2 linked regions of the Alligator mississippiensis genome follow. The protein of the gene in region 1 binds, or shares a complex with, the protein of each later gene. Links are inferred from orthologs where the notes say so. Each region holds a gene or a part of one and is shown on either strand. Other genes may lie near its edges. The genes, in order: TBL1XR1 and CORO2A.

What was found.
Region 2: TBL1XR1 (region 1) and CORO2A share a complex: the UniProt entries of both Homo sapiens proteins name them as parts of the N-Cor repressor complex. The link is inferred for Alligator mississippiensis from reciprocal best matches to the Homo sapiens genes TBL1XR1 and CORO2A.

The regions. Positions count from the first base shown.
Region 1 is NC_081830.1:79,319,828-79,331,649, forward strand, and holds the start of TBL1XR1 (F-box-like/WD repeat-containing protein TBL1XR1), read right to left. Parts: upstream 4,959-11,822; 5' UTR 4,463-4,958; intron 4,288-4,462; exon of another isoform or gene 4,242-4,287; intron 3,867-4,241; exon of another isoform or gene 3,575-3,866; intron 3,331-3,574; 5' UTR 3,143-3,330; intron 2,031-3,142; exon of another isoform or gene 1,942-2,030; intron 1-1,941. UniProt on the Homo sapiens protein: F-box-like protein involved in the recruitment of the ubiquitin/19S proteasome complex to nuclear receptor-regulated transcription units. Plays an essential role in transcription activation mediated by nuclear receptors.
Region 2 is NC_081826.1:153,245,154-153,256,203, forward strand, and holds the start of CORO2A (coronin-2A), read left to right. Parts: upstream 1-5,662; 5' UTR 5,663-6,127; coding exon 6,128-6,142; intron 6,143-11,050.

The sequences.
Region 1 (11,822 bases):
TCTTAACTCTTTTTCAGCAACTATGCTCTTTTTCAGCAACTATGCAAAGCTTAGAGATGCAAACACGGGTGTTTATACCCAAAAGCTTGCAAAGGAATTTTTTTTTCAACTATTTTAGTTGGTCTAATAAAGGATATTACATCTACCCAAAGAACCTTGTCTGCCTATGTCCTTAGGCCAACAGAGCTACAACCTATACCCCTGAAACAGAGTAGGAAACTTTCAAAAGTTAATAGTTTTGATCCATAAGAATCTACAAGTGTGTGATATCACCCTGATGAGTGTAGGGATTATAAAAATCTGTCTGCAGGTCACACCAAGGGTTTAAAAAGAGCCCTGGCATCAGCGGCAAGACAGCAGCATGCCGCTCAACTTGAGAGGACCGTTGCCCTGCCTGAGGGAGCAGGGAGGCCTGTACCCGTCCTCTGGACCATCTAAAATTTCTAGAAATGCTGCTGCAGCTACCCAAAGTTTTGTTGCAAAATGTTTGCTTATGGCAGATGAACATTTGGAGCTTCTCCATAACATGGTACACAGAAGATAGGCTGTGACTGGATATTGACTGTAAAATACAGAAACAAAAAACCCAGGACATCCTGTGAATGACTGAATTTTAACTGCTCGGCATCAATTATAATTAAGATCACTCTTTCGCAACACTGAGGCAAATACTCCACGTACTCTGTGACTTAACATTTTTAGTCTTCATTCCATTGTTGTAAATCTTCCATCTCCAACATTACTCCCAGAGAAAAACAGGCATTACAGCCCGAAAAAGAAGTTTGCAAACTCAGCAAAATACCAGTAGGGCTTAATTTTCTGAGACGCTAAGCACACAAAATTGTTCCCTGACTTCAAATGGAGTTGCAAACACACAGATTTTTTGCAAATGTGACTAGTGTCTACCATACATGTTGTCTTTTCCAAATGAAAGTGCCAGCCAACTCATCCACAAGAAATAAAACAAACTTTTTCAAGCATCCAACTTTACTACAGTATAAATTCAACCTGTAGCCAACCCTTCCATGCCTCCATGTGAAGCAGGATGGGCAGCATCTCTGTAGTCACTTAGGAAGCCTTCCTAGAAATAGGAGCATGGGGTGTGTACTACACACTATTTTGCCCACAGCGTACTTTTTCAGAAGTTTAAAAATTATCTATAAACATTAAATAATCAACATGCAAAAAATATATTATTTTGGTAGACATATACTGAAGTAAAGATACTCAGCTCATTTCTCTGTGGGTATGTAGACACACCCCCAAAATAATGTAGGCAATACAAATATAATAATAATTTAGTTCCAAACCCTACAAACACCAACCCATATGAGCAACTTATGTACATGTGGAGACTACATGAGATAATTGGTCTGCAAAAGAATAAGCCATGTGTGTTACATATTTACAGGATTTTCTGATTTAAGCCCCACAAGCATGTCAATTTAGGAAAGACAGACAAAGTAAATGTAAAATTGCGTAATTCAGTCTAAGAAAAGTTTTACTGAAAGTTTAAAAACCATATGCAGCTCATGGTTCTGACCACTTATGCTCAGTCCAACCAGATACTCCTTATAAGAGGTCACAGTGCTTTGAAATATCAAGCTCTCTCACAAGGGGAAAACAACTATGAAGTTGCAAGTAAACTAGTAAAGTACTTGGCATTTACATAACACCTTGTAACTTCAAAGCACCACACACACACACCAGTCATTACCTCACAGATTAAAAACCCAGAAGCAGCATTTGTACAAATTCTCTTAAAAAAACAAAACAAAACTGTAAATAGAAGTCTGAAGGAAAGTATTACACTTGCACAGCAAACAGACCTAATGATGTTAGGCATTCAGTCCTCCAAATGAAGTACACAAATCCAAATAAAAAAAAAAAATCTAACTCATTGATATACTAAAAGCCAAAACACAAGTCCCAATTACTCACATATTTAAGTCCCAGTTCATCCCTTCCCTCTCTTCTTATGGAATGCATGCTAAATATTTCCCAAGTGATCTCAATAATAATTTGGGAGCCTGGGTTTCCAAGACACTGGATTCCCAAGATACAATACCACATGAACCCTATTTTCATGGAGAGAAAGCCTGGCACTCCTTTAACTAACATAACTTAGTAAAACAGAGAGAGCAGATAGTCACAAATGGCCTGGGAGTAAAAGTAAAAGGTAAGTTCTAAAATAATAGCTTTAACCAAAAAGAAAAAAAGAAATCATCACAATAGGAAGCCACAGAAAACCTGCTACTATTATTTAAGCAGCAACAACAATGTGCTTGGCACATTTCATCTTAACAGTCCCTCTCCCACCCCTTATGTTTTCAAGATCTACAAACAATATGACACTTGCACAACTTTAAGCACACGCATAACAACTTTGCACAGGATCAACACATTTATAAAATTGGTTGATGAGATTATTAACATGAATGGGTCCCAATCAAGGCCCCAATCTCACCATGAGTTTCACAAGGGCAGATCTCCAAGCCTGTGCTTAATTTGAAGCATAAGGAGGGCTGCCAAACAGCCCTAGAACTTCAGGCATTATTCAAAAGCCATACCTGAAATTTTGCAAATGGCACCTTCCTGCAGAATGGGCCCAAATCAAAGCCTGAGTCAGTATCCAATGAGCAAAAAACATCAATAATAAAACATCTCCATTGTGAATATGCTTTGTAACATCCTCAAGTATTTATTGTAATATCTTCATGACAGTAAAATGCTGTGTAGTCAAGCTCAGGCCAATTTGTGTGTGTGACAACTGCAGAATCCTCCTGACCACAAGTTTCTGCCTCCTCTCCTTTAATAACAAAGAGTGAGCATGCTTTGCCAGCTTGACTATAAATCAGTTAATTTACCGATTTACACAGACAGGAAAATAAGGAAGTTGAGTACATTTGACAGTAGTGAAAAAAACCCAAAAACCCAAAAACAAACTGCAACAGCAAACTTCACACGGCAACCCCACACAGCAACCTACAGACCAAACTTTCTTAAAAAAAATAAAAAAGATTCACCTTGCTATCTCAAGCAACAAGAAAGCACGAAACACATACCAGGCTCTCACAAGAGACTTTTCTCTCTCATAAATTTTGCCTTCACAGGGAATATAGTGCTGAAAGATTCAACTCACCTGTAACAACTTTAATTTCTAAGTCCACCCCTTCAAAAGCAGACTAAGAGACTGCACGTTTTGGTGTTACAACTGCTACACATGGTCGATCACCAACTCAGAGAGCCTCTCTCCATTTTAGGTGTAAAGATCTAGTGCACAGGACAAGCCTGACTGCTTCATTTTGCATTTTTTTTTGAATGATCAAGCTCAGGGAAAAAAAACAAAACACAACACACTTATGAAAAAAAAAAAACAGAAACACTTCCATTTCCACAACTAGGGCCCACATCTTGCTTCTCCATGTGGCCCTTCCCGTCACCAAAAAGCTCATGTGCCACCCCAAAGCTCATGTGCCCACCCTCAACAGGGGACTGCCACACACAGAAAACTTTGCCACTTCCCAGCTTCAAATCCAAATGATAAATACAAGAGGGTCCCCCTCACACCCACCCAGGGCTGCAGAAACACAAAGGAAACCATTCCCTTGAACTTCCAAAGGGAAATGCACACAGCACAATTGCAAAGAAAGGAAATTAAGGAGAGAGGAAAAAATAGAAGGGGAAGGGGGGGAGGGGAAAACAAACAACAAAACAATCACACAGAGGGGAAAAAAGTGTGGACACAGGAGCACTCCCCTCCCCCACTCCACCATGAGTTCAGCCACAAGCACATTTCTACCCCATACAAAGGCACCAGAAACCCATTGCAAAAAAATCAATCAATCAATCAATACAGACCTAAGGTCACACTTCGGGGTGGCTTCCCGCCCCCACACCCCCCTCTTCTTTCTTTTTTTTTTTTTTTGTAATATGTGCACTGCAAAATAAACACATTCAATCCTACAAGATGCCTCTTCTTTACACCAATCAAGCTAAAAATAGGCTAGAAACCAGCCTGCCTCATGATGGCTCCTTGATTCAATTTGCAGCAAAATCCTTCCCCCCCCCACCACCACCTTTCCCCACCCTTTATTTTAATATATATAAAACCCAAAAGGTTGGGGGGGGGAGGGGGAGCCAAGGGTGGGAAAGGAGAAGAGGAAGGGGGTGTGTTGGGGGGGCACAAAAGCACCCAAACAAGCTGGGACGAGGGGGGGAAGGGGGCATGCAAGGCTCACCAGCGGCTCCCCAAAGCCAAAAACACCCCTTGCTCAGGCAGCCAAGGGGGAGGGGGGAAGGGAAGGGAAGGGAAGGGAGGGAGGGGGGAAAGGCATGTTAGTGCTGCCCATCCCCCACCCCGCTTCTCCAACCAGCTGCCCTCCCCCACCCCCACCCCTATGCACTGGGAGGGGGCAGAGGTTACTGGTGCAAACCCCCCCCAAATAAAATAAATCCTTACCTTGCAATGGAGGGCTGAGTGGCTGCTTCCCCCCCCTTGGTTTTTGCAATGGAGAAACACACACACACGCACACACACCCTCCCTCCCCCTCCCCCCCTCCAAAAAAAAATAATAATAAAAAAAAAATTTAAAAAAACCCCCAAACTCCAAAAGCAATTCACCCCGGGCTGTCTCCTCCTTGCTACATCTAGGTGTCTAATGGGTGTCTTTTAGCTGAGGTGCCCACACCGAGGGGGGAGGGGAGAAGAGGAAGGGGAAAAAAAAAAAAAAGAAAAAAAAAGGCAGTGGGGGGGGAGGGGGAGGGAAACACACACACGGGGGGGGAGGGGAGGAAGTCACCACCAAATGCTGCTGTGATATTCAATTAGGGGGGGAGGGGGAGGGGTGGGGGATGAAGTCCTGAGGAGGAAGAGCGGTAACGCACGCGTGTGTGTGTGTGTGTGTGAGTGAGTGTGAGGCGCGGAGCGGGGCCGGCGGCAGGAAGCTGTTACTAGGGGAAGGAGCCAAACGGCGCGGAGCAGCCAACGGCTCGAGACGCCCCGTGCGGGGACGGCGCGCCCGGCCGCACGGAAATGGGCCGGCCCGGGGGGGCGCCGCGCGCACCCTCCCGCCCCTCCTGCCCCCCTCTCCCCTCCTCGGACCCCCCCCAAACACACACACACACACACACACACACACGGGGGAGGGGGGGCACTGGGAGGTTTACAAGCCAAATGCATGGTATTGCCAAGCAAAGCCCTGAGCTGGGGGGGGAAGAGGGACACTTTGTGGGGGGGCAGGATGCAGGATCCTGCTCCCCCCTTTGCTCACCAGCTGCATATTGCCAAGCAAAGCCCTGGGCTGGGGGGAAGATGCAGGACCCTGCCCGCTTTTCCCCCTCTTTGCAAGGCAGATGCATGATATTGCCAAGCAGTCCTGGCTGGGGGGGAGATGCAGGACCTTGCCCCCTTTTTGCCCCCTTTTCACCTTCTTTGGAGCCTGCCCGCTTTGCCTGGCAATATCTCACGCAGGTGGTTTGCAAAGTCCTGGGCTGGGGTGACAGAGGGCACTGGGGATCCTGCCCCCTTTGCAAACCAGATGGGTGAGATATTGCTAAGCAAAGTCCTGAGCTGGGGTAAAGGGCATGAAGGGGGACACTTGGGGGCGGGGGGCAGGATGCAGGACCTTGCCCCCTTTTCTCACCAGTTGCACGAGATATTGCCAAGCAAAGCCCTGCACTGGTGTGAAGATGCAGGATCCTGCCCCTTTTTACCCCCCTTTGCAAGCCAGCTGTGTGTGATATTGCCAAGCAAAGCCCTGGGCTGGGGTGAAGGGGGTACTGGGGGGGGCCAGGATGCAGGACGCTGCCCCCTTCTCTCCCCGTTCGCAAGCCAGCTGCGTGAGGTATTGCCAAGCAAGGCGGTTTTGTTGTTGGAAAATAGGCAAGCCACCAACAGCCAGGACTGCCAGCTGTGGGGGTGGGTTAGCATAGGGGGGTGGGAAGGGGGACGACATGGGGGTATAATATACTAAGGGAAATCCCCTCCCCTCCCACATGTGCTCCAGGAAGTACAAGGCAGTCTTGGCAGGCAGGGCTGGTTTGTTGTTCAAAGCATGCCAGCCAGCAGAGCAAGGGCCAAGCGTGGTGCAAGGAGCATAGGGGGCTGGGGTCCAGCACAGCCAAGGAGGCCCTTTCACAAATGTACTCATGTTCCTTACACCCCGCAAGCTAGTGGCACACTGTACTTTTGCCAAAGGCTGGGGTTTGATTAGTAGGACTACACAAAGCAGAAAGCACCAACAAAGCAACATATGGGGGTGAAACAGAAGCCATGAGTGTCCCAATTCAACCAGAAGAGACCTCCCCCACCCAGGGGAGCGCACCCTCCCAGAGCTCTGCAGCAGTTTGCACTGAGCAATATTGTCAGGCACTGTTAATTTATTACTGATGTCGAACAAACCATCAGCAACCAGAATAGCAAGGAGGAGTAGGCACAGGCACTGGGGTTCAAATACAGCAGGAGAGGCGTTTCCCAGATTGTGTGCACACAGCTTTGCAACAGCTTGCGCAAGGCAATAGAGCTGGCCATTGTGCTTTTATTGTTGCTCTTATTTTTTTAAGCACATCCATGGTGTATTGCCAGAGCACTTGCATCATGTACATGTAGCATGTCTGTAATGCTTTATTATTTTAAATGCTTGATTATTAACTGTAGTGTCTGGTCCTTACGCCCTGACCCAGCCATTACAGGATCAGCGCTGTAGCGTTCCTGTTTCTTAGTAAAATCCTTCTTTTTCATTATATTTAGTCCCATGCACACTGTTCTTTTTCAGACTCTAATAATATTTAGCATTTATATCACAATTCAGGTTTTCCAAAGCAGGATTCATTCATATGAATCATCTTGGGGCTTTTTTCTGAGCACTTGCCTAGCTCAGATCCTGCAGTCAAATCTTCATGAGCAATGCCCCTACAAGTCCCAAACTGATCGGCCTGCAGGAATAGGAGCTGCGGGATGAATTCCAAGTAGAGACTTCATACCAGCATGCTTCACAGGCGGCCAAAATACTCCCAACCCCTCTGTAAGTGACAGAGAGGCTCAGTCGCTGTTCCAGGCCACAGCCTTAGAGTAGGAGCTATGAAGATCTGTACCATGGTGTCATTTCTGCTCCGTGGTGGGGGAAAATTTTGCATTTGTCCTAATTACCAGGCTTGATATGGGTGAGCATCACCTTATACTGGTCCTGGACCTGCAAGCTGATCCACGTAGATGGATCCTTGTGCCCTAGCACAATTCCACAGGAAGCCAAACTCCAGGACTTCAGCGGACGCCAAGGATCAGCCCCATTGTTCGGTTTTGCAGGATCAGGGCCAGAGTGCTTTTTGTTCGGTGCTTTCTAAATAGCTATAATAATAATAATCAGTACTTGCAGAAAATAGCATTTTTCATTGTGCCATCCAAAATAGCTCAACACTTGGCCTTCCAGACAAGGCTGCAAAGTCTATTTCCGCAGAATTTTGGAGACGGCTGTATCATATATGGGAACAGAAGACTGTGAAGGAGGGGTTTATATCATTAATTGCCATCCAGTGGATTGTTGTGCTGAATTACTGAATTAAGTAATTCGGTATTACTAAATGTTTATCTTTTTAATTGATTTTTAATGGGCTGAGTTTGCAAGGTCCTACACTCCACCTGATGGTATTTCTTGTCCGTTTGTCTACCTAGCAAGTTTGGCATATTAACTTTTGGACACGACACCTGTTCAATTAAAAAATTCCAGGAAACAGACAAGAACACCATTGATGTTGGGGAGCAGATGGAAGGGGAACTCCTTTTCCCTGTTTAAGAGAGCCACAGCTTCATGCACCCCTGCAACAGCAAGATGCAATTGATGGTGGTACCCAGTCACTTTGAATTATTTCCCCTCCTAGCTGAAAGAATAGAAATGATAATGTAGGATGGAGATGGGGGGGAAATGGGAGCTTGCTCATTCATGCAGAACTCCTGGCTCTGTGGAGAGAAAGTGGACCCCTGGTCTGGGGGGGATGGAGGCTGTACACAGACAACTTGGCATGGAGGAAAAGAGAAGAAGGTACTTTTAACTAAATAATAATCTGTAGCACCTTTTGTTTTACAAGCCATCTAGTAATGATAGACACAGGACAAACCACAGTGTTTCCGTCAGGAAGTGGATCCTAAGTCCTACAAAATTTGGATCTGAGTTATGTTTCTAGCACATCCCTAAATAAGAATAAACTTTTCATTTTCTAGGTACTTTAATAAGGCTGTGACTCGCTTTTAGTGATGTCGGAAAATAGTGGCCCTGCGTTGTCCCTGAGCAGTCTCCCTGAAGCTGGTGAAATTACTCATATAGTAGTGAATGCCGTGTTCAGAAGCTGTGTTTGCAGTATCATCAACTGAGTATGCACAGCACCACACACAGTCTGTGCTCCATAAACAATAATACTTGGCACTCAGAGAATGGTTTCTATTTTCAAAGCACTTAGAACCAATGATACTTATGTAGCATTTTACATCTTTGCAAGAATCAATTAATCCTCGCAATGCCCTGTGAGATACGGATAGGTAAGCACTGTATAGCTGCTGTTGTTTTTTTTAATGCCACATATTCAAACTATTTTTTGGAATGCAAATATATCAGTAATATTTGTTTTATAAGCATTTTCAGCAAATAATGAACAATGACAGTATCTTAAATCTATATCATAATTTGAATTCTAACCCTTTAAATTCAGTATGTTTTACTGGGACCAGTTGAAAGGCTTAAATATACACAAGTAGAAAGATAATACTTGATATAAGAGGGAAAGGGATCAGGCCCAGCCTTTCATAGTGGCTGCATGCTAAAGTATAGGTTTCAATATTATTATTATTATTATTGTCCCTAAACCATTGTTTGCTTCTAGAGTTAGACCTTGATCATGTAAAGAGCCCTTTGTGAATGAGACTGATTTTAGCTTCCTGTCCTTTACAAATACAGTATCAGGGAAATGCAGCCATGTAGAGAATTGGGTGGAAGGTGATAATGACTCATACATTGTGCAATAGTAAGGGGTGTGCCAGTTCTGGCCAGGACTAGGGCAAATCCTTTTTCTCATAAAAATTACCGTATTGTCTTTGATATGCATGCAAGCCCTGATTCAGTCTGATACTTAAAACTGTGCTACTTAGCCCTACTGACTTTGATGGGACTGTCCATATGCTTGATGTCAGGGATATGCTTAAGTACTCTGCTATGACTGAGGAGGAAGGGGGAAGAGCCGGGAATACCTAGAAGCACACTGTGTAGGCACTTGTACTCCACTTTAAGAGGGCTTTTCACAGTAAATGTTCCAATGTGGATTAGCCTACACCACACAAAAGTGCTCATGGCTACACAAATAGAGCTGTTTTGAGATAGTTGCTAGGCTTTTGCCACAAGGTTCCTCCTATATGTCAGTGTACCTACCCCTGTCCCAAAAAGAAACTGCCCTGGAATAGAAACAAGTCTAAATTTCCCAGGTTAAGCATTCTTAATTTGGGTTGACAGGGTGTGTCATGGGGCCGCAACTTGGAGTTTATTGGAGTCTTGGTGTGACATAAGGGAACTAACTATTCAGGAGTGACTATTATGTCAATTTATACCCTGGCAATTTCTAGATAACTTCCCAATGTGGACAAGCACAAATTCTGGAGCACGGCTCAGATAGAACCTGAGTTTTCTATCTGCTTCAGTACAGCAGAGAACACATTAATTTGTTTAACACTATACAAGACCATTGAGAGCATGCAGCTATAGAAGAACATGAGAACATGGGGGATCTCTTAAGAGTGGGCTGCTTTCCCCAGTTTCCAGCAATGAAACTGGTTTGTCTGTGTATTGCATGCGTGTCAAAGGAAAAAGAAAACAATGGTTCTTCAGTTTGGAGGGACTCATTTTATGTGCGTGGTAGCTCACCAGAATTGACCCCATTTTTGTTGGCAGATTCAAAAAGGTAACAGAGGTTTCCCTCGCTTTATGCTGTACATGCATTCCTGGAAAATGATGCATAACTCAAATTTTCATAAAGGGACCCCACTTTCCAATGTAATGAATAGGGATACATTCCAAGACCTCGACTGTAGTGACCCCCAGAGCCATTTCTACCACTTTTACAAGACAATTTTGGTACTCGCCGACAGCAGACAGTACACACAAGCACAGGGCACTATCATTACGGGGATGGCAACTGCAGAAACATGTGTTGCAGACAACAAGCAAGGAGCACAGATCCACGCAGGAGACTATATTTTGGCGCGCGTCACTCCCACAATGCACCGCATAAAGCAGCTGACTGTGGGCTTCCACCACACTGATCACATAAGGGTGAATTTACCTCTCATATAACTAATTTTTGGTGTACAAAGGGTCATTGCATAAGAGCGAATTCGCACATACAGAACCCGCATAAAGCGAGAGAAACCTGTAGATTGTGGTAGGAGCTGAGCACCTTTTAATATCAGACCTTGTACTTCTACCCTACATTTAGCCTAGCAATTAAATCAGTAGTATCTTCTGCATGTATTTGGGACAACAGCCAAGACATTACACTTTCTTTCCAACATGCCTGGTGCTCATGTGATGCCAACCTTTTCTGAAGGTTGTTTTTCAGCAGACACTCTAAATACACATAATATTTATTCCATTTATATAATACCAATATTATTATATTATTCTTGTATTAATAATATTATATTATTATTAATACAAATAATACCAGTTATTTAAATGGTAAGTGTGTTACATACAGTGTAGGTATCTATAGAGAAAAAAATGAGTCAATTATAAAATAATAAGATGCTTAACAAACAGATCTGTATATATTGATCCAAGAGACTTATTTGTTGCCTTAACTAGACTTGGAGCAATAACGCACATAATGAGCGGCCATTTACCTTTCTATCTTTGGTGCATTGTTTGAACCCAGGCTAAAGGCCAACTAACTGCCTTTGAGGCGTGAAGATATCTGGTATGACTGCATTTCTGAGAGCATACTCACAGTGTTGTAAAATGGTTCTAGTATACCTATGTAACAATGAGCCAATAACTTGTGGTAATCTAAGGGATTTAAGTGAGGAAACAGGCCTTGTGCTACTAAAAAGGATGGATTTCACGTGGTATGTTTAGAGGTCACTATGCACGGTAGCAGGGAAACAATTAATGTGGCTTAAGCCTGACAGTGTTGGAATCTATCGTTGGGGGTTTAAAGCATTTCTCTAAATGTAGGCCCCATGCCAGCCAAAGTTTCTCAGCTGCTAGCCCATCACCCATAAAACCAGCAGGACTTTTTTTGGAAATCCAGCTTTATGTGCTTATATTTGTACACGTACACCTGGAAAAGTTGCTGCTTTGTATAAAGAAAGTGTGAGGCTAACAATACTAGTTTTTTTAATTCTTCCTTTCAGAGAGGAGCTTCCAGCCCTCACCTTCTCCTAAGAAACAGCCCTTTTTAAGCATGTTCAAGCTTTTTCTCATCTTTTTTTTTTTTTTTTTTTGCCTGATACTTCCAATGCTATGCTTTGGCTGCAGAAGGACTGGCAGAAACATGCTATGGGTATCCAGATCATGCCACTGATTTACTGTGTTCATCCTCCAGCCAGTGGTCAATCCCTGTTGCTTTGGGGAAAAAAAAAATCACTCTTCTTTGAGTGTGATTGATGCTTCATGGAAGGTGCATACCCTGTCAGGCTCTGGCCCCCGGGCAATAGTGCAGTGCTGTGCATAGATACAGGAAAGAGAAGCAGAACAGTGAGCAAGCAAGGAATGACACTGACAGGTATCTCACTTTGGGAGTTAACACGGTTTTCTGCATTGGATGACATTTAAAACTTTTTT
Region 2 (11,050 bases), on another chromosome or scaffold:
TCTGCTATTTTTAAGCACCATTTTTAAGTGCCATTGATCCCCCGGATGAGCCACCTGCGGCTCCGTCTCACTCTTGCCCCGGGGTTCCATTCACCACCCTGACTGGGCAGCGCCTCCAGCCCCTACCCCACTCCCTCCCTCACCATGGGGGCCTCAATCTGCTCCCCCACACCCCTTCTTCTCCACAGACTTGCATGCAGGGAGCTGCTCTCCACACTGCCTGGTTGTATTCCTGTAAATTGGTTATTAGATCAGTATCGGCTGATATCCTGGTGAATAACTGGCTATTGGTATCGGCCAACAAAATCTTATATCGGTGCACCCCTAATAATGAATACTACTTACAGACCTTAGTTTGCATGTGTGCATAAATTGTATACTGACTCTGACCCTTAATTGTGGATGTCTATAATCTATGTTGCTCTTGACCTTATTTTACATGGGATGGGGCTCTCAATGCCTACAGTTGTTAGTCTGTGCCATCACTTGGGTAGTGTTAGTGCAGAGATGAGTTCTGAGTAGGCAGTAGGGACTCTACTTGTAGTAATCTGTCCAAATCAGCACATAGACAATGCCCAGGGGAGTGTATGTGTCTGTGTGTACGGGCAGGAGAAGGCAGGGGGGACATTGCCTGTTTCTGCTACATGCAGGTTGTCACAACCCAGTGATTTTGGTGCCTCGGCACGGTGGAATTTTCCCGCCACATGAGAGCCTCTTGCAAAGTAAAGGCTTTCTGTTGTTGCAGAAAACCCCCGGTGCAGGAGAGTTCCTGCCATTCGAATGTAAATTTGTGTCCCGCTATTGGCCAGTTCTAAATTATGCACACGTGGCGGCTAGTAATTGGCTTGCTGGCCGTTTAAAAATTAGCGCGACTTCCGCCCAAGTCGGAGAACTTTGAGCACGCTGCAGAGTGCTTCTGAAGAGATCTGACTCGTGGCTGAGCTGATCGATAGACTGATCACCTATTGATTCGTCTCCCCGTCGCCGAGTGCAATCCCAGACGTATCCTTTTCCCTGCCGGCCCGATTTGTAGACGGACGTGCTGGCCTGAGCCCTGCCAGCTGGAACAACTAACGTAGTTGTTCAGACGACTGGACCATTTTTGTCGCAACAGCAAGCGACGTAAGTAAAGTTTTACAACCATAAAGCTTTCTCGGCCTCTCTATTCACCAGCCCGCCCCGACGAACGAGTAATTATTGAATCACCTCGAGTCGGCTTTGGCCGTCTGGGACACAGGTGAGGCTTTCTTGTCATTTCAGAAACCCTGCCTATAACATCTGTGAATCCAAGCAGCTCCGGGTGAATGACAGCTTCTTTAGTTTCAGTGAATTCCCAGAGCACCCTGAGAATTTGGAGGAGGAACAGTTAGGGGAAGGTGCCCATTCTCCTCACAGCCTGGCATCCCTGTTGTGCAGCCACCCTTGTAGACGCTGACCCAGAATGGAAGGGTTGGTTGGACCTCCTGGAGAACAAATTCCATACTGCACTCTTTAGCATCCTCTCCTTGTTCTGGGTGCCTGCTGCACTGGCAGTCATGGGTCATGCTTTCACTGAGCCAATTTGTCCCCACTGGGCATCTGGGCCTATTTTTTACTGTTTTCCCACTTGCTCTGTCTTAGACCAGCATGTGGCTGGTTCCTGCTCAGTCTCAAGCAGTAAACAGAGTGGTCAAGTTCCTCCTATCAGCAGATCCTCTGTTATGACAGCCACTGCTGGCTCACACCTACCCCCTGCTACCTGCTGTCTCACAGTTCAGTCAAGTTTGGCCTCCTATGGCCACAGTACACACTCTAGTCATGCTCTATGATCTCAAGTTCCACATAGAGCAATCTCAAGTTTGGGGTGCACCCATTAGTCATCCCCTTTCTGTGGCTTCCTCCATACGTATAGCTACAACCTGGCCATCCGGGAGAGAGGGGGGAGGGAAAGGGGGAAATGAAACCCCCAAAGTGCAAGCACCAGTCCAAAGGAATGGTCTGCCTGTGGTTCACTGCACCCCTTGGTGGTGGGCTCCATGTAGAAAAACCACAACAGAAAGTGCCCAGGTTACTTGACTTGCTTCCTGGACCTGGAAGCCATCTTGCTGCAAGTTCCCCTGCCTGGGTCCCCTGGCTCTGCCTGCACCTGGACCCAGCAGCCATCTTACTGCAGTCCCCCCCTCCCTCTGAATTTGGCTCAGGGGTTACCCCCAGGGCACAGGTAGAGAGAGAGAGAGAGAGGACTGAGATGAAGTGGAAGGTGGCCAGGGGAAAGGGGGAAGGGACCTCTACCAAGGGAAGGAAGCACTGGTCAACACACAGCAAGATAAGGAAGGAAAAGCTTTAGAAAGGGGAGGGTGATGAAAGAGGGGGGAATGGGCCAGAGGTGTCTGGCCTTCTTTTCATTCTAGAAACGGGGTAGAAGCCCCATTAGAGGTGGGCAGGCAGGGTCTCTGGACTCCATGGAGACCAGCCAGGACTCCCGCAGGCAGGGCACGCTTGGGCGGGCAGATGGGATGAGTCCGCAGGCGGGCATGGAGCAGTGTCTGGCTGGGAGTTGGACAGGTGGGCAGGGGCTGGGGCTGGGATTGCAGGGCAGTGACAGTGTGGGGATAGGGCCTAGGATAGAGCCATGATCCACTTCCCACATGTCCCTGTGATGGGCACCAGTTCTGTGGGCAGGGACATGTGGGGAGTGGATGGAGGCTCTGCCCCGGTCTCTGGGCTGGCTCCACAGTGTCACTGGCCTGTAATCCTGGCCTCCCATAAGGCCAGCATGCAGCACATCCATCTCTCAATGCACCCTGGACTCAGGACTGAAGAACTGTCCCCCCACTGCCTCTATGTGTGCCACCAAACTAGGCAGGCATTGTGATAGAAACATGCTCAGGCACATATTTTCAGCTTCCAACAACTCCCAGGTAATCCTGATAAGTGGAGAAAAGCAAACAATCTTCTTTGCATGATGGGTCACGTCCACATTGCTCATCCACCCACAGCATGGGATGTTCAGTTGTTAGCACTGCTGCAATCCAGAAGGAAGAAATGTTGTTCCTATTACAGTATATTATTATTTGGAAGCTGAGCCAGTGATTAGTCTGGGCTCGTTACCAGCAGCACTTGGCTCTGGTGTAATATTCTCATGTGTCATCCTGGATCGGAGGCTGGTCCTTACTCTCTCTGTGTGATTATATTCCATAAACCTGAGTGCTGAAAAATGCTACACATTGTTCTTATGTGAAAATCAAAGAGTGACCTGTGTGTTTGACTTGCCAAACCCTCCTACACAAGTTCAGAATGTCACTGAGCTGTCTGTCAATTTGCCCCTTAGCCTGTCCTCTGTCACTCTCATTCTCATGAAGGTGTCTGTCTCTTCAAATGTTATCCTCAGTTAAATTTAAAATGGACCAGATGCTATGTTCCCTGGGCTCAGGCTGCCCCATAAGAGGTCCATTTAAGAGGCTCATGAGAAATAGCTTCTTTTCATAGGAAATCCCTAGAGCTAACAGGCCTGGCTAGAGGTATTCCATTTGTGCTATAGGATTTGATCCTTAGCTAGGTGCAATCTGCTCAGGTCACTTTAATGCAGGTATGTTGGATTACACCTGCTAAGAATATGGCCTATCATTTCTCCCAGCTCTAGGGTTCATTGAGCAAAGGTAACCAAGCCAGAAGGGAATTTGCCCTGCAATCACTTGTGCAGCTGTCATGAGGTAGTAGCTCAGCAGCTCTGTTCATAATTTTCCTTTCTTTTGGGAGATGGCCACTACAATTGTGTGTCCCGCTGTGCACCTTGGCAGCACCTCTCAGCCACAGAGTGGCCTAAACCTGAGCTAATTTTTTCACTGTTTTCTAACACTCACACATTCCAAACATGGTGCACCCTCTCTGAATGCACATAAGGTGCATAAACCAGACTTCATAAACCAGATTGCCAGGGGAGTCAACCAATCCACTCCTTAGCTGGCAGAAACCCATGAGAGTTAATCCAGAGTGTTGGTCAGAGACACAAGAAAAGAACGTTAGAAAAGGCCAGGAATGTAAAGCACCAGTCCAAATGTGCTACCATCTTGAAGAGCAGCCAGAGCTAACATTAGACCTCACAACTTTGTTTGAAGGCATCAAAAGGCTGCATGGGCTTGTGGGAAGATAATGAAAGGTCATCTGCCCATTGTGGGATATGTTTTAGTGGAAACTGGCTTCAGCAAGTCAGCAGTTGCTCTACACACACACACACTCTTGTTAAAAGGAAAAAAATGCATGGACCTTGGAGCAGAGTTAGAAGGACAGAAGTTGGAGGTGTGCTAAGGAGTCAATCCACGTGCTCATGGATAGTACATGAGCTGAAGCACCTCTGTGCTAGTTCTGTGATTAAAGAGTTGGTTTAATGTACAGATACAGGCCCAAATTCCACTTATCTTGAGAAGGGCAAGTAGGGGTTAGGGCATTTGCCAGAAACACCTGAGTCCTAGGCCCACTTCACGCAGTGAAGTGCCTTGGCTACCAGGAATTGCCCAAAGCACTCTGCAGCCCTCCCTTTGAAGCTGACTCACTGGGCAGCCAAGGGGAGAAGATATGTGCAACAAAAGATTAAAGTGGGAGGGTGCATTGCTCAGTGAAAAGGATGCTGCCATAGAAAGGCTGGGGCTGGGTTCTGGTCTCTTACCCTTGCTGGGGCAGATGGTTTCCTACTGCAGTCTACCCAATGACTTAAATACAAGACTACCAATGGGGCAGGAGTCAGGCTATGGGTGACTGATGCCGCCTTAGTCAGGGGGGGCACAGGGGGGGACCAGTCCTCACCTAACTGGCAAGTGCAGCTGGTCAGGAGGTGCATTGGCGCTCTCGGTGGGGCATGTGCACCCCTCCCCCCCCACATCCCCACTGAGTCAGGCAGAAGAAACAGCTATGTGGCATGCTGAGAACATAGCTAATGCTTCTGCCTGTGACCCTTCCTTTCTCTGTGGCCATCAGCTTGGGGGAAATCTCGTGATATGTTACTAGGGCTCCTGTGGCAGACAGATGCTGACTTGACGACTGCTTGTCCTGCAGAGGGCTCTGGGTAGAAAAGGCAAGTGTTAATAGCGTGGACACATATATAGACAGACAGTTAAGTCCTCTGGAAGTGGTGCCCACATCCATATGTGCCAGCCAGAGCCCAGCCAAGAGAGATCACACAAGATCAGTCCTGGATGATGCAGGACAGCCTCGAGACACTCCCGACACATGAGCAGGAGGTTGCACTCTGCTCCCCCATCAGCAATGCCAGCTACCAGAGCTGCAGGCTCCCACAGCCCAAGGCCTCAGGGACTAGTCTTGCTGCATGTTTCTCCTGGGAATCTGCCCCAATCACCCATTTAGGCACCAACAGACACCGAGCGCATCCTCGGAGCAAAGCAGCTCAGCCCCTGCCCTGGCTCTCGTGAAGGCTCAGTGTCCTGCAACCCCTTAAAACGTTGCTTTATTTCTTGTTAAGCTCCGCGCCTGCCCCTGCCCTGCGCTCACCCTTGCCAGAGGAAGCCCTGCTGAAGGGAAGGGGCTGATGCGATGCGCCAGCAGGAGCTGAGTCCCCCACGCGACAGAGCGCTCCCGCAACGTGCCCTGCACCAGGTCCCGGGAGAGCGCAGGCCGGGGAAGGGAAGGGCAGGTCTGCCTAGGTGGAGCCAGGCTCCGCCCGCCCTCATGCATATGCAGCGGCTCTCCCTGCCGAGGTTCCTATTTCTGCCGCACACAAAGGAAGGAAATCTCTTTCTCTGATCCTTTTCTCTCCTCCCCCACCCCCCCGGAGCCCCGACCTCCCCGCCCCGGGCTGTGCTGCAGGGACTGTGCGGTGTCCCCGCAGCTCGCTCTGCCGCTGCCAGGCGCTGGGAAGCTGGAGGTTACTTGGTTTGTTGGGTGGGTGTTTTTTTTTTGCTTTTCGTTTCGGATCCTCCCTGCTCTCTCGTGCCTCTTGCAGCAGGCGAGCCAGGCAGCCCTGTGTCATGACTTATGAATGAGCGTGACTCAGGGATCGCCCACACTCCGCAAGGGGATCCTCCGTCCGAGCCGGCAGGGAGGCAGGGCTGGGCTGCGTGTGCCTGCAGAATTGGAGATCGCTGCTGCAGCGGGTGCTGGACACCACGCCCTCCCTGGCCTGGAGTAATCCTGCATGACCATCACAAAGGTAGGAGAGCATCGGACTGGAGCGCAGGGTGCACCTGCTGCTAAAAGGCAGACAAGGTGCTTTGGGTCAATCTGGTATCTTTTATTAGACCAGCTTAAAGAGTGGGAAAACATTTTGCTTTGCAAGCTTTCGGGTAGAAAATCCCCTTCCGCAGGCTGAGGAAGCATCTGCAGTTGGTGTGCGCTCTTCTTGGATGGAATGAATAGTAAAGAAGCCAGAGGCTGGGCTGCACACAAGACAGGCAGTCAGTGAAGATGTAGATTGAGGAGCCAGTGGGTGAGAGACAGGCTGGGTAGGGGGGAGAAGGGGGATGAATGTAACAGTTAAATAGTGGAGAGGTACCTGGGGGAGTCAGATGTTAGGCAGGTTATATATAATGTGTCATCAATCCAATGTCTATATTTAGTCCATGATTTTTAGTATCCAGGGGGTTGATGAAGTGAAGTTCATAGGCTTATTTGTGAAAGGTGTTCTGTAAATTCCCCTTGAGGATCAGAACTGAAAGATTGGAGAGAGAGTGGTTTTCTTGTGAGAAACGTGCCCGCACAGCTAATTGGGTATTCTTGTCTTTGATAGATTTCCACAGTTGTTGTTTGGTCTCTCGTACAAATTTTCCATCGGGGCATTTGGTGCATTGGATGAGATGTATTACATTTCTGGAGGTGCAGCTGTAAGATCCAGGAATGGTGATGGTTCTGTTGTGGGATGTAGTAATTGTGGGGGTGGTGGAGATATGTTGGCAGGTTTTACATTTCTTGTCCTGGCATGGTCTGGATCCATTTGGTGTATTTTGGGCCATAGAAAGTTTGCTTCTGGTTATGAGGTTAGTGAGGTTTGGTGCTTGTTTGAAGGCTAGGATGGGTGGTTCTGGGAAGATCTCTTTAAGAACTGGGTCTCCTTCTAGTAGAGGTTGCAATTGTTTGAGGATTTTCTGTATAGGTTCCAGGGAGGGGTGATGTGTCGTAACCAGTAGTGTGCGATTCATGAGGGTTTTCCTTCTGTACTGTAGCAATTCTTCATATAGTATCTGGGTGGCTCTTTCAATAGTTCAATCTATCTCTCTGGAGGCATGTCCTTGTTGAGCGAAAGCATTTTTGAGATTTGTGGGGTGGCAATCATGGGTGTTTGGCAGGGCAGATGACACTTTTTTAGACCTAATCTACCTTTGCAGGCAATTGGAAAAGTTGGCATCTGTGTGGTGTCTGCTATGTGACCCAGAGGGAAAACCAGCAGCATTCTCTGTGGACTGGCAATGCATGTAGCCTGTCCAGGTTGTATTTGGTGTGTGCTCTGGGTGTGGGTTGAGCTGCATGCAGCATGCAGTCCCACAGGATGCAGGTATTGATGTCTCTCCAGCTTTGCCCTGCTTGTGGTCTGGGAAGGGTGGTGGCAGCATGTTGCTTGCAATCCCCACTGGGTGGAAAGGCAATAGCTTTGGGCATGATGTGCTGCCAGTGGAAAGTGCAGGCAGGCAGCTATGTTGTGCAGCCCACGCAGCCCTAAGGGAACAGCTTCCCTTTTACACTTTTATGCTGTGGTGGTGTCCTGACAGTGCTGCATGTAAAAAGGTCTGGTGAGAACTCAGTGCCGGGGGAGAGGCTGGAGCAGAATCCAAAAGACCTTGGAAATCCATAGCACTGGGAAGCATTACAAAGCCAGTCCAGACAGTGCCATGATGGAGCTGAAAGCTTAGGAAAGGCTGAATTTGGGGACACTGGCTCTCTACCTCAGTCTGATATGTGTAGAGTTGAGCAATAACTCTGTGCCCCCACAATAGCTCTTTGGCAGGCTGTGCTAGCAGGATTTGTGCTTTGAGGGGCTACCAGAGCCAGAAGGGGAGAGAGTCACTTTTTACTTGCACTGGGCTGGTGCCACTGGAGAGAGCAGCCCTGTCCCTTTCACTTCTGCCATGCTTTGACTCCAACACCCTCTGCACCTTGGGCCTCTCAGCAGTCCCAAGGTGGGTGCAAAGACAAAACTTCTCCCAGCTGGGCCTCAGGAGTTTGGTCCTCTGCCTAGGGCTGGATGAGATGCAAAAGTGCAGTCACAAAGTCACTGCCTGATGCAGGGCCCCTCTGAGTCTTCAGGAGAATCCAGCACAGAGTACGTGGGTCCTCAAAACCCCACCCCTACATAGACACATACACACATGGTGTCCAACACATGCAGGCACATGGATATGCAGTGTACACATACACACATGCCTGGGGCTAGGAGCAAATGATCTTGTACCTGGTGTGTGGAGGGTGGTGACCACACAGCCCATCATGAGCTCTAGGACTTTCATTTGCCATCATGAGCTCTAGGACTTTCTTTGCTTGTATGTTTGGCACCTCATTTTGACTGTCTTGGCTGTCCAGGCCAAACTCTGTCACGTTCCCTCCCTTCCAGGGCAGATAATCTTGTAGCCTAGAGGTGCTGGATGGTTACTTTCCACTGTTCCTCTATGCCCTGGGCAGCAGCTTCCTGCACCACGTGATACTGCACTTTCCTGCAGAGACAAAGGTTCCTCTTCTTCCCCGAAAGGCTACCCCTTCCGGGTTCGAGTCTGCTGTCAGTTGGCCAGCTGGATGGGACTCCAGCAGTAGGCACTTTGATGGAGCCTCTGGGAAGCAGGGCAGTAAGCTGCAGCTCCCAGTCCATGCACTGGATCAGCTTTTACTAGCCCAGGGGTTTTCAACTGGAGGTACACATACCCCTGGGGGTACTTCTGATGGCCTCAGGAGGTACTTGGCAGTGGGAGTCTTGTCAACTGGCTTCTGGGGGACCCGCCCCCCCGTCCCGCTGCTCGTCTGGCTGCTGGGGGACTCCTGCCTTGTCAACCGGCTGCTGGGGGTACAATGACCCAAAAAGGTTGAAAACCCCTGTACTAGCCCATGGGGAACATCTCTGCCCCCATGATTACTATAAAATACTTAACTGGCTTTGTTGTAACGTCCTCTGCAGCTCTGCTTGCCCTAGAATCTTGGCAAACAAGAATGGTGCTCCAGCAGCCTCATGGAGGTGAACACAGAGGTAAACTAACTCTTTCCAGGTCATCTGAGAAGCTCATAGACAGGAGGGGAGTGAATTCTGGTATTTAGCCAACAGTCTTCTGGCTAGGGGCTGGGGGCTGTGAACCTTACTGTACTTCGATAGCTGCTATAGGCTTGTGCCCCAGAGAGATGAGCAGCAGGACTAGCAAGGCATAGTTAAGTGCATGCACTTTGCTGCAGCCCCTCCCTGCTTTGTGTGGTCTGGGCCTGGGCTGTTCTTCACAGAGCAGAGTATACCAGAGGCTGGAGCTGCACAGCTGTCACAAACCCCCTGAATCCCACACAGCCAACTGCATGCAGCTCAACTATCTGCTTTGCCTGGAGGATGGTGGCATGGGTTGCACTGGGCAGTTGAGCCCTGAGTATCCCCCTCCATCTTATAGCAGTGAGAGCAGCATGCTGGCCAATGTACCCTTTGCTGCAAGGACATCAATCCCAGCCTCACCCTGCACATCTTAAGCTGCTCCAAGGCTGTGGGTGTGTCTCATAGTATACAACAGGAGCTGAAAGTGTCCAGCACTATGGAGGTTCAGGTGCTCAGCACATACCATGGGTGGAAGTTACTCTATCTTCACTTCTCTTTGGTTGTACTTGCTCTTGGAAGGCTGCAGGATGTCATTAAGATCCCTGCAGCCTGTCTGTGTGCAGTAACAGCAGGAGTTAGTGGTCAGTGGTCTCTGCATTGTCTGTGACATCCCCTCTGCAGGCTGCATGAGTAGGACTTCCCCTCTCTGCCCCTTTGACTATGTGATTGCAACTATGTCCCCCAGGCAATTTCCTGGAATTTCTTTCTGTATCTTAAGCTTTACCATCTGAAACCGGCTACTTTTGTACCCCATTATCATCAGTGGAGCCACAGGAGAGTCACCCAGGGCAGAATTTGGCCCAGAGGTTGCATAGAAAGTGTGCACAGGTGCTGCTTATTGACAGCAGTAGAGTTCCTTGATGCATTGGTGCCTTGTAACTGAGAGCAGACACCCTGATTTTTGTGTCAAAGGTATAAACTACCCTTGGCACTCATCCCTGCCAGTGAAATGGCTGGGTGGTCCAGAGAAATAGCTGCAAGCCAAGACAATGCTGCTGGTACAAAATGCCTTCATCTTCCTTGGCCCCTTCACTCCCACTGTGGCAAGATGCTCCGTGACCTCAGCCTGAGCTTTGATTATCCTGCAGGGGCATGCACAGCTTGGGGCTGTTGTGTCCCTGTACAGGTACTCCTTGCTTAATGTCCTAGTTACATTCTTGAAAAATGTGACTTTAAGCAAAATGATGTTAAGCAAATCCAATTACGTTACAAAGTAGTTAACTACTAGCAGGGGGCAGCCAAACAACATTATAACCAAACTTAGTGCAACATTAAATTAGTATGTTCTCTAATAGATCCACAACATAATAACGAAACAACATTAACTGGAACGACTTTAAGTGAGGAGTACCTGTACTTCTCATACAGTTAGCAACCCACTGACATCCTGGCCCCATTACTTGCAAATCAGTGAGAGTTTGGCCATTGGCTTCTGTGCCACCAGAATTGTTTAAAAATGAACTCCTTATGGGGCACTTGCACTGTAGTCAATTAGGATGCAATCTCCTGCTCATCCAGGGAAGGCAAGTGAGCAGCTGCATGAACCTTTCCTGTGCCTTCTGATACCTGGCAGCCTGGGTTAGACAGTGGCACAGTATTTTGTGACCCTAGGTTTCTAGCTGAAGTCACAGAGCACTACCCACTGTTCACCCTGCAAGGTACAGAGCTCCCCTTGCCTTGGTTCGGTTCAAGAACTAATATGTAAAAAAACAGGCATGCAGAAATGTCCCTGCTGCATCGCAGCTATGCCCATCATGCTCAGAGTCCTATCACCCACTGCACCTGGCT